Linked DNA regions of Tribolium castaneum. The protein of the gene in region 1 purifies or fractionates together with the protein of each later gene. This does not show direct contact. Links are inferred from orthologs where the notes say so. Each region holds a gene or a part of one and is shown on either strand. Other genes may lie near its edges.

The links.
Region 2: the proteins of Cyfip (region 1) and HSPC300 purify together in Drosophila melanogaster (affinity purification with western blotting; 4 studies listed by BioGRID). This does not show direct contact. The link is inferred for Tribolium castaneum from reciprocal best matches to the Drosophila melanogaster genes Cyfip and HSPC300.
Region 3: the proteins of Cyfip (region 1) and SCAR purify together in Drosophila melanogaster (affinity purification with mass spectrometry; 3 studies listed by BioGRID, with this or other methods). This does not show direct contact. The link is inferred for Tribolium castaneum from reciprocal best matches to the Drosophila melanogaster genes Cyfip and SCAR.

Annotation. Positions count from the first base shown.
Region 1 is NC_087403.1:2,184,091-2,187,993, reverse strand, and holds the end of Cyfip (cytoplasmic FMR1-interacting protein), read right to left. Parts: intron 3,902-3,903; coding exon 3,603-3,901; intron 3,563-3,602; coding exon 3,480-3,562; intron 3,434-3,479; coding exon 3,117-3,433; intron 3,071-3,116; coding exon 2,502-3,070; intron 2,455-2,501; coding exon 2,263-2,454; intron 2,217-2,262; coding exon 1,918-2,216; intron 1,871-1,917; coding exon 1,632-1,870; intron 1,587-1,631; coding exon 1,439-1,586; intron 1,392-1,438; coding exon 1,194-1,391; 3' UTR 1,019-1,193; downstream 1-1,018. Other genes in the region: Duba (OTU domain-containing protein 5-A), read right to left, coding at 1-365, 412-500, 767-835. UniProt on the Drosophila melanogaster protein: Plays a role in guidance and morphology of central and peripheral axons and in synaptic morphology. Also required for formation of cell membrane protrusions and for bristle development.
Region 2 is NC_087396.1:20,957,500-20,960,731, reverse strand, and holds HSPC300 (probable protein BRICK1-B), read left to right. Parts: upstream 1-1,743; 5' UTR 1,744-1,759; coding exon 1,760-1,880; intron 1,881-1,925; coding exon 1,926-2,008; intron 2,009-2,057; coding exon 2,058-2,084; 3' UTR 2,085-2,085; downstream 2,086-3,232. Other genes in the region: superkiller complex protein 3, read right to left, coding at 1-490, 536-725, 772-1,004, 1,396-1,479; ATP synthase subunit s, mitochondrial, read left to right, coding at 2,086-2,652; Not11 (CCR4-NOT transcription complex subunit 11), read right to left, coding at 2,657-3,115, 3,162-3,232.
Region 3 is NC_087399.1:10,151,182-10,156,418, forward strand, and holds the start of SCAR (actin-binding protein WASF3), read right to left. Parts: upstream 3,127-5,237; 5' UTR 2,967-3,126; intron 1-2,966. Other genes in the region: uncharacterized protein LOC107398411, read left to right, coding at 3,699-4,100, 4,155-4,811.

The DNA.
Region 1 (3,903 bases):
ACATGCCGCGGGAAAATAACACGTCCCTTTTTTGCCACTCTTCATCCGGTATGTTCCGCTCTTTGAGGAGTCCCTGGTCATCGTACTCATCCTCGCTGTTGAAGCCCGTGTAGTCTTCCTTGTTCGCAGTCCCAGGTTCGTTGTTGTTGCAAGTGGGCTCAACAGCGACTGAGTCAACAACCGAATTACTCGCATTATTGTCATGTAGAGGCTCATTTGAGATATCGCGTTTAGCAACTCGTTCCCGTTTTTGTTCCCTCCGAACTTCCCGTTTTTGTTCGCGCTCGCGTTCCCTATCTCGCGCCCGATCTGGCTCTTTATATCGCTTCCTCAAACGCTCTTTCCGCTCAGTTGTTGACTTGACGCTGGAAGCAAGAATGAATTTTTCCGCGATTGAGGGTGGAAACTTACTAGGGGAACTGAGATCGGCGGCTTGAAGGGCTTGCCTCATTCAGAGAACTTATATCGTCTCTCCTACGCACCGCTCGCTCGGAATTCCCCTAAAAAAAGTCGGGCCTTAATTATTCGAACAAAGGAAGCCGACCTAGACAGCTCTTGAGCTAGTATTGGAAAGCAATCATTACCTACCTATTTTACATTATTACATTATTAAACCTATCTAATTACGCAATCGTGTACAAAATTTCAAGATCAAGCAAAGATTTCGCTAGTCCAACACGCTGACAATAAAGATAACACGATTTATGATTATGAAGTTTCTCCTTAAAAAAAGATCAAAAATGACAAGTTTAACATATCTACTCACATTTTGCTGACTATTGTCGCTTTTCTCCTCCGGATTCGCCGAAGGTCTTTTGGCTGGTAAAATTGTCATTGTCTAATTTTTCAAAATACAGAAAATACTACAAAATTATTGAATTATTTTCTATAGTTTGACAAATCTCTCAACTACTGTCAACACACGACGAACAGCTGCTATCAACAGTCACCAGCGGGACTAAGTCCCCGGTTGGCAGCCCTGAATTTGAAACAACGCGCGAAATAAAACACACTCAAGCAGGCATCGAAAATTTTATTATGAAAAATTAAAGCAATACCAATAAGGCCGATAATAAATGAGGGTGGGCGATACATTTGTAATGAGATTTACACATGTAGTAGGACTATAATAAATATAAAAGATTATAAAATGTTGAAAGCTGATTCCAACAAATGTATAAAATAAACGTGCTTCAACACTGGCGTAGATGTTCGGGTGCGTGGTAGTGCTGTTGCGGATTCATTGGGTAGACCGGTGGCGGGAAACAACGTACATGTTCAACCGACAACTCGTCGTTCTCACTCGACTTCAAAAACTTGTTCAAAATCGCAAAGATCTGCGAATTGAGCACTTGGAAGCGCCTGATCCTGTCCACCATTCTCTTCAAGCTCTGGGAAAGACAATTATAGACCGAAAACAACCGTACAACCAACATACAATGCCTTTCACAATTTCATCCTTCATGTCAACTCTTTGTACTCTCAGAATGTGGTAACAGAAATCGAGGGCCTCAAACCGCCTTTGCTGGTCCAGAAGCACGATCATTGTACACCCCGCCCAATGCAAACCTTCGCCAAACATTTCCCTGAAACACGGAATAAATAAAACGAAACATAAAGTCGGTACCCACTCGACAGTATATTCGTTCTCGCTAACTGGAATACAATAGACGAATTGTAAAGCCGACCACAAGCGATGGAACTCGGTGCATTCGTCAACGTTCATGACACCGTTAGCAGGCGGCGGTCCGACCCAAACCGAATCGTCCAGGAAGGTCCTTAATCGGTTCAAAACAACTTCAAAAATCGAGAGACCGCAGCACAGCCGCTCACGGGTCAATAAATCGCCCTCCTTCGATATCAAAGATTGCTACAAATTGGCGAAATAACAAACAGTTGTTTGCACATTTATCCAACCTTTGCAGTTCCTAACTTCTCTATATTTGGTACAATCTGCAAGGCGGCATATTTGGCTTCAAGCCGTTTCTGCTTCGTTTCGGGCTTCTCCCCTTCCTTGCAAAACGGCCGTGGGAGGATATTCTGAAACGGTGCCGCTTGCAACAAATCACAGACTTCCTCCTGTGACAAGGCCTGTTCCATCAGTAAACAAAACAGGATAATGTTCCCAAATTCTCGGAAATTGTGGAACAACTCGGTCCTGGCATCGGGGTATTGGACAATGTCGTTCAATTGGGCGTGGTAGTAACTTAACACACCTAAAATTCGTCTTATTAATTCCGCCCAAATCAAGCAAATCATTACCCGGTGAGCCGTAATCGTAACGTGGCAATTTGCACTGCTTTGGCATGACCTCCATTAGAGTTTTGGTGAATTGGAGGAGGTTCCCTTGGATCAGACTTTTGACAATTTTGAGGAGCTCCTCCATCACAACTGCAATGCCTTGATAACCCAAGAGTTTGCACATTGTGTGGAAATGCTGAGGCCCGACGAACCCTAAACCGTACTAGTTAAACAAAATTAGGACCATAAGCTAGATTTACCGGAATATTGGCCATACTGAGTCGTGTAGGCAAGGTTCAGTTGCTTGCTCCCCCACATGTAATGATGCGACATTTGCGGCGGCTTATCTCTGTGGACAGCCCCCGCGAAAGCAATCTGCCCCCGATACTTAGTAAATCTGTTCGTCGCGGCATTGTAGACGTAATTAGGCAAGAAATCGTAGTTCAGCTCCCAAAACACATGCAAGGTGATGCGGCCATAGGGCGCCAAAACGTTGTGATTAGCCTCACGATACATTGAATCGAAATCGTCAAGTGCGAGCCACTTGCTCAGCAATTTATGACACAACCGATTCACTTGTAGGAGGCCTTCCAGTTCCATAACCCCGGTTATGTCACCGCCTTCGAACTTACTTATTGCCAAATCGAGACTTTTCTGCATGTCGGTGTTGATCCTCTGAGTGATCAACTTATTCAAATCGATCGACCGCCCTAATAACTGGACGTGCCGCTGTTTTAGCAAGGTTTCGTAACGATTTGCTCGCGGGTAGGGGAGCAGGTAAGCCCCCAAGGCGGCACACTCCACTCTGAAGCGCTTATCAAGAAAGATACTGAAAGGATTGATTGTGAAAGCGTTCCCATGATTTTTATCAATACCTTGCCGCCAGTTGTTTATAGTACGCGAAAATTTGCTCGCTCAGTTTATAAACAAACTGATCAAAACATAAATTAACTTCAGCCTCGACCTCATCGTATAAAAATTGCTTTCGGAATATTGTCAGTGCGTAAAGCGCGCTATCATTGTATAAATCAAGCGGGTACAAGACGTACTCCATCATCGAGGGTTCCTTAGTTTTCAAAATATGATCAGTCAAAATCCAAGGCATGGACATGTCGATTGGGAATTGTATGCGTTTTTCCATCGTGATCAAATCGTTACATTCTTCGTTATGAGCGTGACGCACGGTGCATTTCTATGAAAAGTTTGGCAAATTTTTGGCAAAATTACGCGTTACTCACGTTTATTCTCCGTCCCATGGTCATCTCGAGGTAGAACTCTCTGTACCACAGCTGCGACAGGTCGCAACATTGCTGCAACGATTCTGGGAGGAAATGAATTAATATCAATGTTTTTGTACGTACCACTGAAACTGAGAAGATAATTCCAGTAGAAGGAGGTTTTGTGGAACTGGTCAATTTGCATTAAATATTGACCGTCTATGTCCTTCCTCAGGGTTCTTTTGCCGCCTGATTTATCGGCAATTAGCGACTCCAGCATTGTCCTGACCATGTAAAGTTGGGTGGAGGAAGGACCCACGTTTCTCCTTGGCACTTTAACATTAAACCCGTTATCGTCCTTTTTGCCCCTCAAAGCCGGGTCTTGAGTCGGCTCGACACCTCTCTGCCAATCAGCGCAAGTTTCTCGCACCGACATAATGATACT
Region 2 (3,232 bases), on another chromosome or scaffold:
TCAAAATCTTCTTATTTTGTAACAGTTTCTCGAGTTTGTTTGCCGCATTTATGGCTTCGTCGTACAACAGGAGTTGCATACAACATTTTAGCAAAAGTACCCACGCGTGTACCAACCCGGGTAAAACCCCCACAACTTGCTCTAAAACATCTTTCGCTTCGATAATTTTTTTCTGTTCAACTAGTAAAATGCTTTGGGTGAATAGACCCGTAGCTGAAGGTGCCTCCAATTTAGAGAGACTTTCGCTGTAATTGGCCATGTTTTCGACCGATTCGATCAAAGTGCCGGACTCGACGTAAACCTCATTGAAAATCTTACAAATCCAACGCAAAGAAATCCAGTCTGATTCAAACATTTCGTGCATTTTTTTCGCCTGTTGTAATAATTCACCCGCTTTGTCTTGCTTATACAACAGGTTTAAATAATCGCTGAAATATTTCGTACATACGGTTTTTTGGTTGTTTAAGGCGAGTTTTAACGTTTCTTCGTACTAAAAAATTGGTTTAATTTGCAAAATTACGATTTAAAATCATACAATTGGGACCAAATCCGGTGCGAGATTTTCAATTTTTGATAAAATATTAATCAAACAAACTGCACATTCCGCACTGTCACACTTGCCCTCTTTCAGGACTGAAAAAATCGCTGTTACGATTTTAGCCAAGTCGCCGAATTCGCACAAATTTGCCAGTTTTTGGACACATTCGAGGATTTTTTTCTCGCCTCTGAAAAGGCTAATTATCTCATGCCAAATAATTTAAAATCAATTACGTTTCAATGCCAATTAGCGAAATGTAAGCATTAATTAAATCAAGTTTAGTTTCTTTAGTGTCGATTTTTTCGTAATAATTTATAAGACCGTTCCAAGCCAAGGGATTTGAAGGGTTTGCTTCGATTGCCTCCTGGAAAGCTTTCAAAGCTTTGGCGTTTTGACCGGTTTCCTGTAATGAGACTCCCAGGAAGACAAGGGCCATGTAATTGTTCTTTTCTTCTTTCAGTATTTGCTGCAAAAATACAATCGCACACACTAACAAACATAATTAAAGATAACGCTTATGCAACTAATTGCTACAAAGGTGCAGTCCAAAGAAAAAAAAGAAAAAAACAATGAATCAAACAATGATTGGATTCATCAGAAAATAGTGAACACATAAAAGTATTTTAAATTGCCAATGCTTTTATTAATTTTATTAAGTTAATTTCTACAAAAAAAAAACGGATAACTCCGACTATTTAGCAACAAAATTTCGAAATGATCGCAAATGATTATTTCAATTGGTAACAGATTTCAAAGTTTTTTTAGAAATTTGTAACCGGATAATTTTTAATTTTTAGTGTAAATTATGACAGTTTTACCAACCCCTACACCTTATAAATAATAAAAATTTCACCTACCTTGCATAGTTTCAAGGCAGTTTCATAATTCTTGTTTTTGATGGCATCTCGTGCCTCCTTCAACACTAATTTTGAGTCTTTCATGATTCACTCAAAACAATAACTTGTTTGGAAAAGCCTAACCTACAAATGCACTTTTTGCCACTTATTAGCTAGACTCGAAAATAACCAAAAGCGTACAAAACGAATCATTTGCACTTAGTATTTAATTAAAAAAAATATTTGTTTAATTAAATTACGAAAATAGCGAGCTTGTTTGAAACTTTTTCGAGGTTAGAGCATAGAATAAGAGAGAGGGTTAGAGTGTCAAGCAAAAACTGAAACTCCCTAAAAAGTAACCAACAATTTCGGTATTTTTGCGGAAATGGCTGCTCCTAGAGGAGAGACAGTCCCCAAGCCCATCCAACAAGACTGGGTAAACCGCGAATACATCGAAGTGATAACCGTCAGCATAAAAAAGATCACCGATTTCCTCAATTCTTTCGGTAAGTTTCCCCTTACTGTTGACACCTCGCAAAAATTATTTTTAGACTTATCTTGTCGATCAAAACTCGCCGTTTTAAACGAAAAGTTGACAACTCTCGAGCGAAAGATCGACTATTTGGAAGCTTGTGTAAGTCTCATTTACATAACACTGCGCTTTATTTACAAATAAACTGAAGGTCACCAAAGGGGAAACCTTGACATAAGATGCTCCTCACTCGCCTCAGCCACCTCCAAAGGCCGCTCATCCCCCACACGCGCACCCTCTTCCACTGGCTGAACATCGTCTTCAACCGCGTGGACGACGAACGACGGAAACAAGTGGGGCCTGACAGGTCTTGTGCCGAGTGGCTGTTGCGGAACGGGGCCCACGTCAAGTGGGAGCACTGCAACGAGTTTCTCACAGACTATAACAAACTGCCGAGCGACAGGATTAGGTTACACATCGTGGAAGTGAACGCGTCTGAAGCCAGCATAATGCACTACGGGTTTGACCATTTCGTGGGGTGCGAACACATCCGGAAAATCATTTTCCACAAGTGCTACTATCTGGAGAATGAGGCGTTGAAAGGGCTGTCGGTTTTAAAAAACTCATTACTTTATTTACAAATCACCGAGTGTTTGAATATAACAGAGCCGGGGCTGAGTCACCTCAACGCGTTGAATAACTTAAAAGAGCTGATTCTGGCCGATCTGCCGTACGTCAAAGAGAGGGAAAAAATCGTCGATAAATTACAGCACGGCCTGCCACATTGTACGATACAGTTCCATTAAATAATCAACCCTCGAGCTTTGCTTTCATTATCGTTGGCGAGGAGACAAGTCCGATCTGTTCCCCCGACTCCAACTGTTTCAATAGCCTGAACAAAGCGGCAGCTTCGCGAATGCGACTAAACTCGATACAAAACGCCTGAACTTCGATAAACAACTCCTGGACGTTGATTATTTTGTTGCGAATGAGCGACTGGAGAAACACACAAACCAGTCGAACCAGCCGATTTTGCATATAACGGTCCTTGATAGTCTCACAAGTCGATATGCAATTCGAAATGTACAAGTGGACAAACTCTGTGGGCAAATCCACGGTCGTTGTGAGCCGATTTACCACTTCCATGGAATGCAGCGACATTTCCATGTTGACAAGAACGCTGAAATATTCCGTTATTTGTTTCGATTGCATAAGCTTGAGCAAAACTTCAATCGCGATAAGTGGATTATTTTCCACCAGTTCGGGCAACTGCAAGCACTCAAATCAGCGAAAATCACCAAATTTCGATTCATACTTTGGACGGAGTCAAACCAATGTGGTACACAAGTTTTGAGTCGTTTTCCAGCTCGCCTAGCAGTTGTTGCT
Region 3 (5,237 bases), on another chromosome or scaffold:
CAAACTGTAACAGTATATACGAGTTTTATAAGACGTCCTATTGTGACACGAATGGTTTTGGAGCACGACGAAGGAGTGTAATATACTATTTTTTCTACTTTCTATTTTTGTTGTTTGTTTTTTTTTTGTTGAATTTATCAAAATCTGTTCAAACTATTTCCTCTTAATGTTGTTAATTATTCAGGCTTTATCAATAAACGACTTGACGCTTTAGACAGATTACACACTAAATTACAGTTATGACTGATGACACCCAGTCCAGCACATCCAACAGAACTATCTACTAAAAGTAATTGCATAAAAGTTTTCTTTGTGAAACCACTTTCGGTTTCACAATGAACATTTTGTAAAACCATAATAGTAGTACTATTTTCAATCAGAAACGCATTTTTTAATGTGATTTCGTCAAAAATACACCGCAAAATTATTAAAATAAGTCAAAGTTTGTTACTTTTGCTTTTTTTCGAAAACTTTAGATTTTTGTTTTTTGGCAAAAAATTCATATTGTTTCAAAAGATTAGTTACTTAATCCGAAATAACTCTGAAAAACAATTATTAACGAAATTTTGTCAAAAATAAGCCAAAAGCCTTTAAAACACCTCAAAATTGGCATATCTTTCCAATATAAATCATGGAAATTAAAAAAAAAGAAAAAAATCGTCTTATTTTTGTTTTTTTGAGTTTTTAAAACGTTTGGAAACGTTTATTTTGCAAGGTTTTGCTGAAACCGGCCAAAAAACACAAAATTATCTTGAAAATGATTCCATTTTCACTTTTTTACGGCGTTTTTCACATAGAAATGCTTTATTTTGCAAAATTTCCAAAATAAAGCCAAAAAATCATTGATACAGTTCAAAATTAGTGTAATGTTTGTTTTTTTTAGCGTTTTGGATCTTTTTAGAGCAAGATTTAGATGAATCATATTAAAAAACGTAATGATTTTGCGCTAGAAACCAGAAAAATAATGAAACCAAATCGAAAATTTCGTTATATTTGTTTTGAAACGTTTCTAAATTTAGTTTTTTTTCAAAGATTTTGCTAAAGCGGGTCTAAACAATACAAATTTAAATCTAAAATGACTATTTTTGCAGATCGAAATCAGTGTTCGCATATTCTTTTAGCATGTTAGATCGTTTTTAAGCTAAACACTTAGCTTTTTTGTGAGATCTTGTCAATAGAAATCACAGACATTTGGAAATCAAGTCAAAAATTGTAATGGGTGCTTTGCTTTTAAAACGTTTCTAAATTCAGCTTTTCTAATGAAATGGGTCAAAAAATGAATAATTTAACTTGAAAATTACTTTTTTTGCTTTTTGGGATGTTTTTTATTGTGGAACGCATCAAATATGTCATAATTAGTGTTATTCTTGCTTTTTTAATCGTTTTATTACACAATAATTTGGTTGTCTATTTTATTTTTGTAAAAAAAATCGTCAAAAAATAAAATGTTAATGTTAATTTTTTCAGAAAAAATTTGGTTATAATCAATATTTAACGTAAGTTACAGAAGATTAGAAGATGTTCATAAAATTTTCAGGGCTCCCCTGACTACAGTTTCATTTAGACGCTTTCTAATAGATTAGATTTTGCAAAAATTTTGTGTATGGCTTTAATCCTTTAATCATACTTATTGGGACAAATAAATAAAAAAAGGGGTGTGGTATTATTTAATGAAAAATAATTTTGCAAAAATCGATTTTCAATTTCTTCTGTTGATTACATTCAAAACTTTTGGCAGTGTTTTGAAATCATTTAAATGCTCATAAAGAATATGAATCAATTGGTTGTTCCCTAGATGTGATAAAAACTTGTGTGACAAGACATGTGTGTAGAGTAGATATGAATATGGAACACCTAAATACACCTGAAAAATATTACAACCATGATTCATCAAAATACTATTAACACTTCAGACCTTGGGAGTATTATTCCTGTTTTAAGTATTTACACTAGATAAAGCAGTACATTTTTGAGAGAATTTCGACGTAAATTTTTATCAGGGAAGCCACTCCCTTAAGTTCTAAACTGAATAATATCCTAATTTTTGAGAAAATAGTTATTTAAAATTTAATTAGAAGAATATCACATTTCCATCGAAGGTCATCAATAATATGTCGTTATGCCGATATAAAAATACAGTATTTATAATAAAATAACCATTAAATGTAAAATGAATGATTTTTTGCAAATTAGTTAGAAAAAATTGCGTTTTTGACCTCGTTTTTTTGTTTTCAATTCATTTATTACAGAAACATCGATTTTTAACAATTCTCACTTTAGTAAACAATTATCATAACTGATTAGCGTGATTTAATTTTAAGTATTCCTTCACCTTTCCCAAATGTAGTAGACCTTTGTGTTATTGTTATTTTAGGGGTTGAAGGACGAAAAAATCAGTAACTATGACGACAACCAATCCAATTATTGGATTTCTCATTTCTAATAATAAGTGCCCTTTAAATTTTAACAGAATCACACGTGATTACATCAATTCCGTTTAAAAAATGCAATCGTTCACCAATTGAACTTTGAAACGCACCGCTACAGAAGTGAAAACTAAACCGTTTCAACATTTCTTGAAGAAAAAAGGTTAAATCTCTGTTTCCCGTTTTCGTCACCATATGTTACCGCTTTATGGAAATAAATAAATTAGTGCATGACGTGCGAAAGACATCTGTGAAGGTTATTAACCGCCAATTAATAAACTAAAGCGTGGCAGGAAGTGCCCCAAACTGGCTTCGCTCTCATCAATACTGTCTCCAACAAGGAAGTGAGTCATTAGGGGGCCACATACGCCCCATTTAACAAATATGAGCAAACACAAGCTGCAAGGTCAAGTCATTTGTCGCAATTACGCGAACAGACACCGCAAACGGCCAGATTTTGGGGCAATTTCTCGCAGAAAATGTCAAATAGAAAGGGGAAAGGCCAACTAGCAGGAGTCGAGATTTCCGCCCATTTCTTACCTCGGCATGGTCTGGGACACTCACTGGGGGGCGCAAACGTTGCCACACATGTTTTTGCACACACGACACTAATTGTTTCGTTAAAAACGGCGATAATTTAATAAATATCGCAGAAAATGGCGAAGCGGTACACCCAACAAACACGATTGAGCAGGACTGCCACACCCACGGAGCGAAAATCACCAACAGCAGCGGCGTCGCGTCAATCAATATTGCGGCCACTTTGGGGATAAAATAAATAAAATTGGGGCGTGCGAGGGAAAACCCTCATTTTAATACATTTTTGTGCGAATGAGGGTGTCATTGCTCGACACTTGATGTTTATTTGGGGGAATTACCAGTGGCGTGCGGAACGTACTGGGGATTTTTGTGTTGGCAACGTTATGTAATAAAAAACTGTTTTTCTTAAATTATTATATTTATAAAATAATAGTAATTTTTGTATTAAGTGCGCGAAATGAGTGTTTTTTTAATGGCGCCTGAGAATGTTATTTTAGTCGAGACCGCCAGGTCGAGACCTAAAAGACATTCGAAGGCGCCATTAAAACATGAATTTCGCCACGAAATACAAACAACGTTTTTTCTACAGCCTCCAGATGAAGAAAAAAGTAACAGAAATTAGTTGGAACAAAATGGTCTGATAAATCGAGTTGCTTGCATGGTTACGATGATAAATAAAAGTGATAGTTGCGAAAAATTTGTCACAATAGGTATTTTTGTTGAAGAAGTGTGATGGATTTTAGCAGCGAAAACGAAATAGATGCAATTGCAAGCGCGGCAGTGTCGAATCTTTTGCCTGCTAAATCAAGACCGCAGTACGAAAAAACGTATCTTCAGTTTCGGCAGTGGTGTTCTATGAAAAAGATTGATCAAGTAACGGAAAATGTTTTGTTGGCGTATTTGGAAGAAAAGTCTACCACCTTAAAGCCACCAACACTCTGGGCCCTTTATGCGATGTTGAAAGCCACCTTAAACGTTAAAGAGAATATCGATACACGTAAGTTTCCGAAGTTAGTGCCCTACCTGAAAAGCAAAAGCGTAGGTTACAGAAGCAAGAAGTCGCAAATTTTAGACAAAGAAGACATTAGCAAGTTTATTAATGAAGCAGATGACAAGATATATTTACTGATGAAGGTAAACTTATCATATTAGTGTAATACAAATCAAAACAACTCGTTTTATTTATAGACTGTGCTAATTTTGGGTATATCGGGAGCCCTTCGACGTGAAGAATTAGTTAAAATGAAGCTAACTGACATAGAAGATAAACAGTCTGTCTTAATTGTGAAGGTGCCTGATACAAAAACCCACTGCGAACGAATATTTACTGTTTCAAATTTAGAAAATATAGAAATTGTCAGAAAATATAGAGCTTTGCGGCCTCCACGGGCGACTAGTGACCGTTTATTTTTAAAGTATACCAACGGAAAATGTGTGAATCAAAATGTTGGAATTAACAAAATCGGAGAGATACCAAGTTTGATTGCAAAGTGGCTTAACAAAGACGAACCTAAAAAATATACTGGTCACTGCTTCAGAAGAAGCTCTGCCACTCTTTTGGCGAATGCTGGAGGTGATCTAATTTCAATTAAACGTCATGGGGGCTGGAGAAGCAGCACAGTGGCAGAAAGTTACATCGAGGACTCTTTGAATAATAAAATTGAAATTGCCAATAAAATTCAACCTTCTTCCTCCACAGAAGAAAACAAAATCACTCAACCTTCTACATCGGCTTCTTTTAATGGCGAAAATAACTTTCATTTACAAGCGTCTTCACTCAGGCCTCTGGGGATAAACGGGGGCACGTTTTCGTCATGCACATTTAATTTTCATATGTCAAAGTAAATATCTATTATTATTGTTTTGTAATATTGTTCTGTATAATTATAAAACCTTTAAAACTACCTCTCATTATCGATCCGTCTCTTCATTTCGGTTGCTGTTGATGTCTTTTCGTGTTACTAAAATTGTAACAGAAATAAGTTGGAACAAAATGATCTGAAAAATCGAGTTGCCTGCACAGTTAAAAAATATTATTTTTTCACTGTGAAACCGTGAAAAAATAATATTTTTTCACAGTGAAAAAACGTCAAACTTCGCGCATAGGTAACCATGCATAAATGTCACGATTTTTTGACGGCTGTAGAAAAAAATAAATAGACATTGCAAATGGTTAATAACATTGAGTAAAATATAAAACTATAAAACATTAATTAATTACTTGTTCCGGATAAAACAAACCCTGTTGTGTTTTGAACTGTAACATACAGG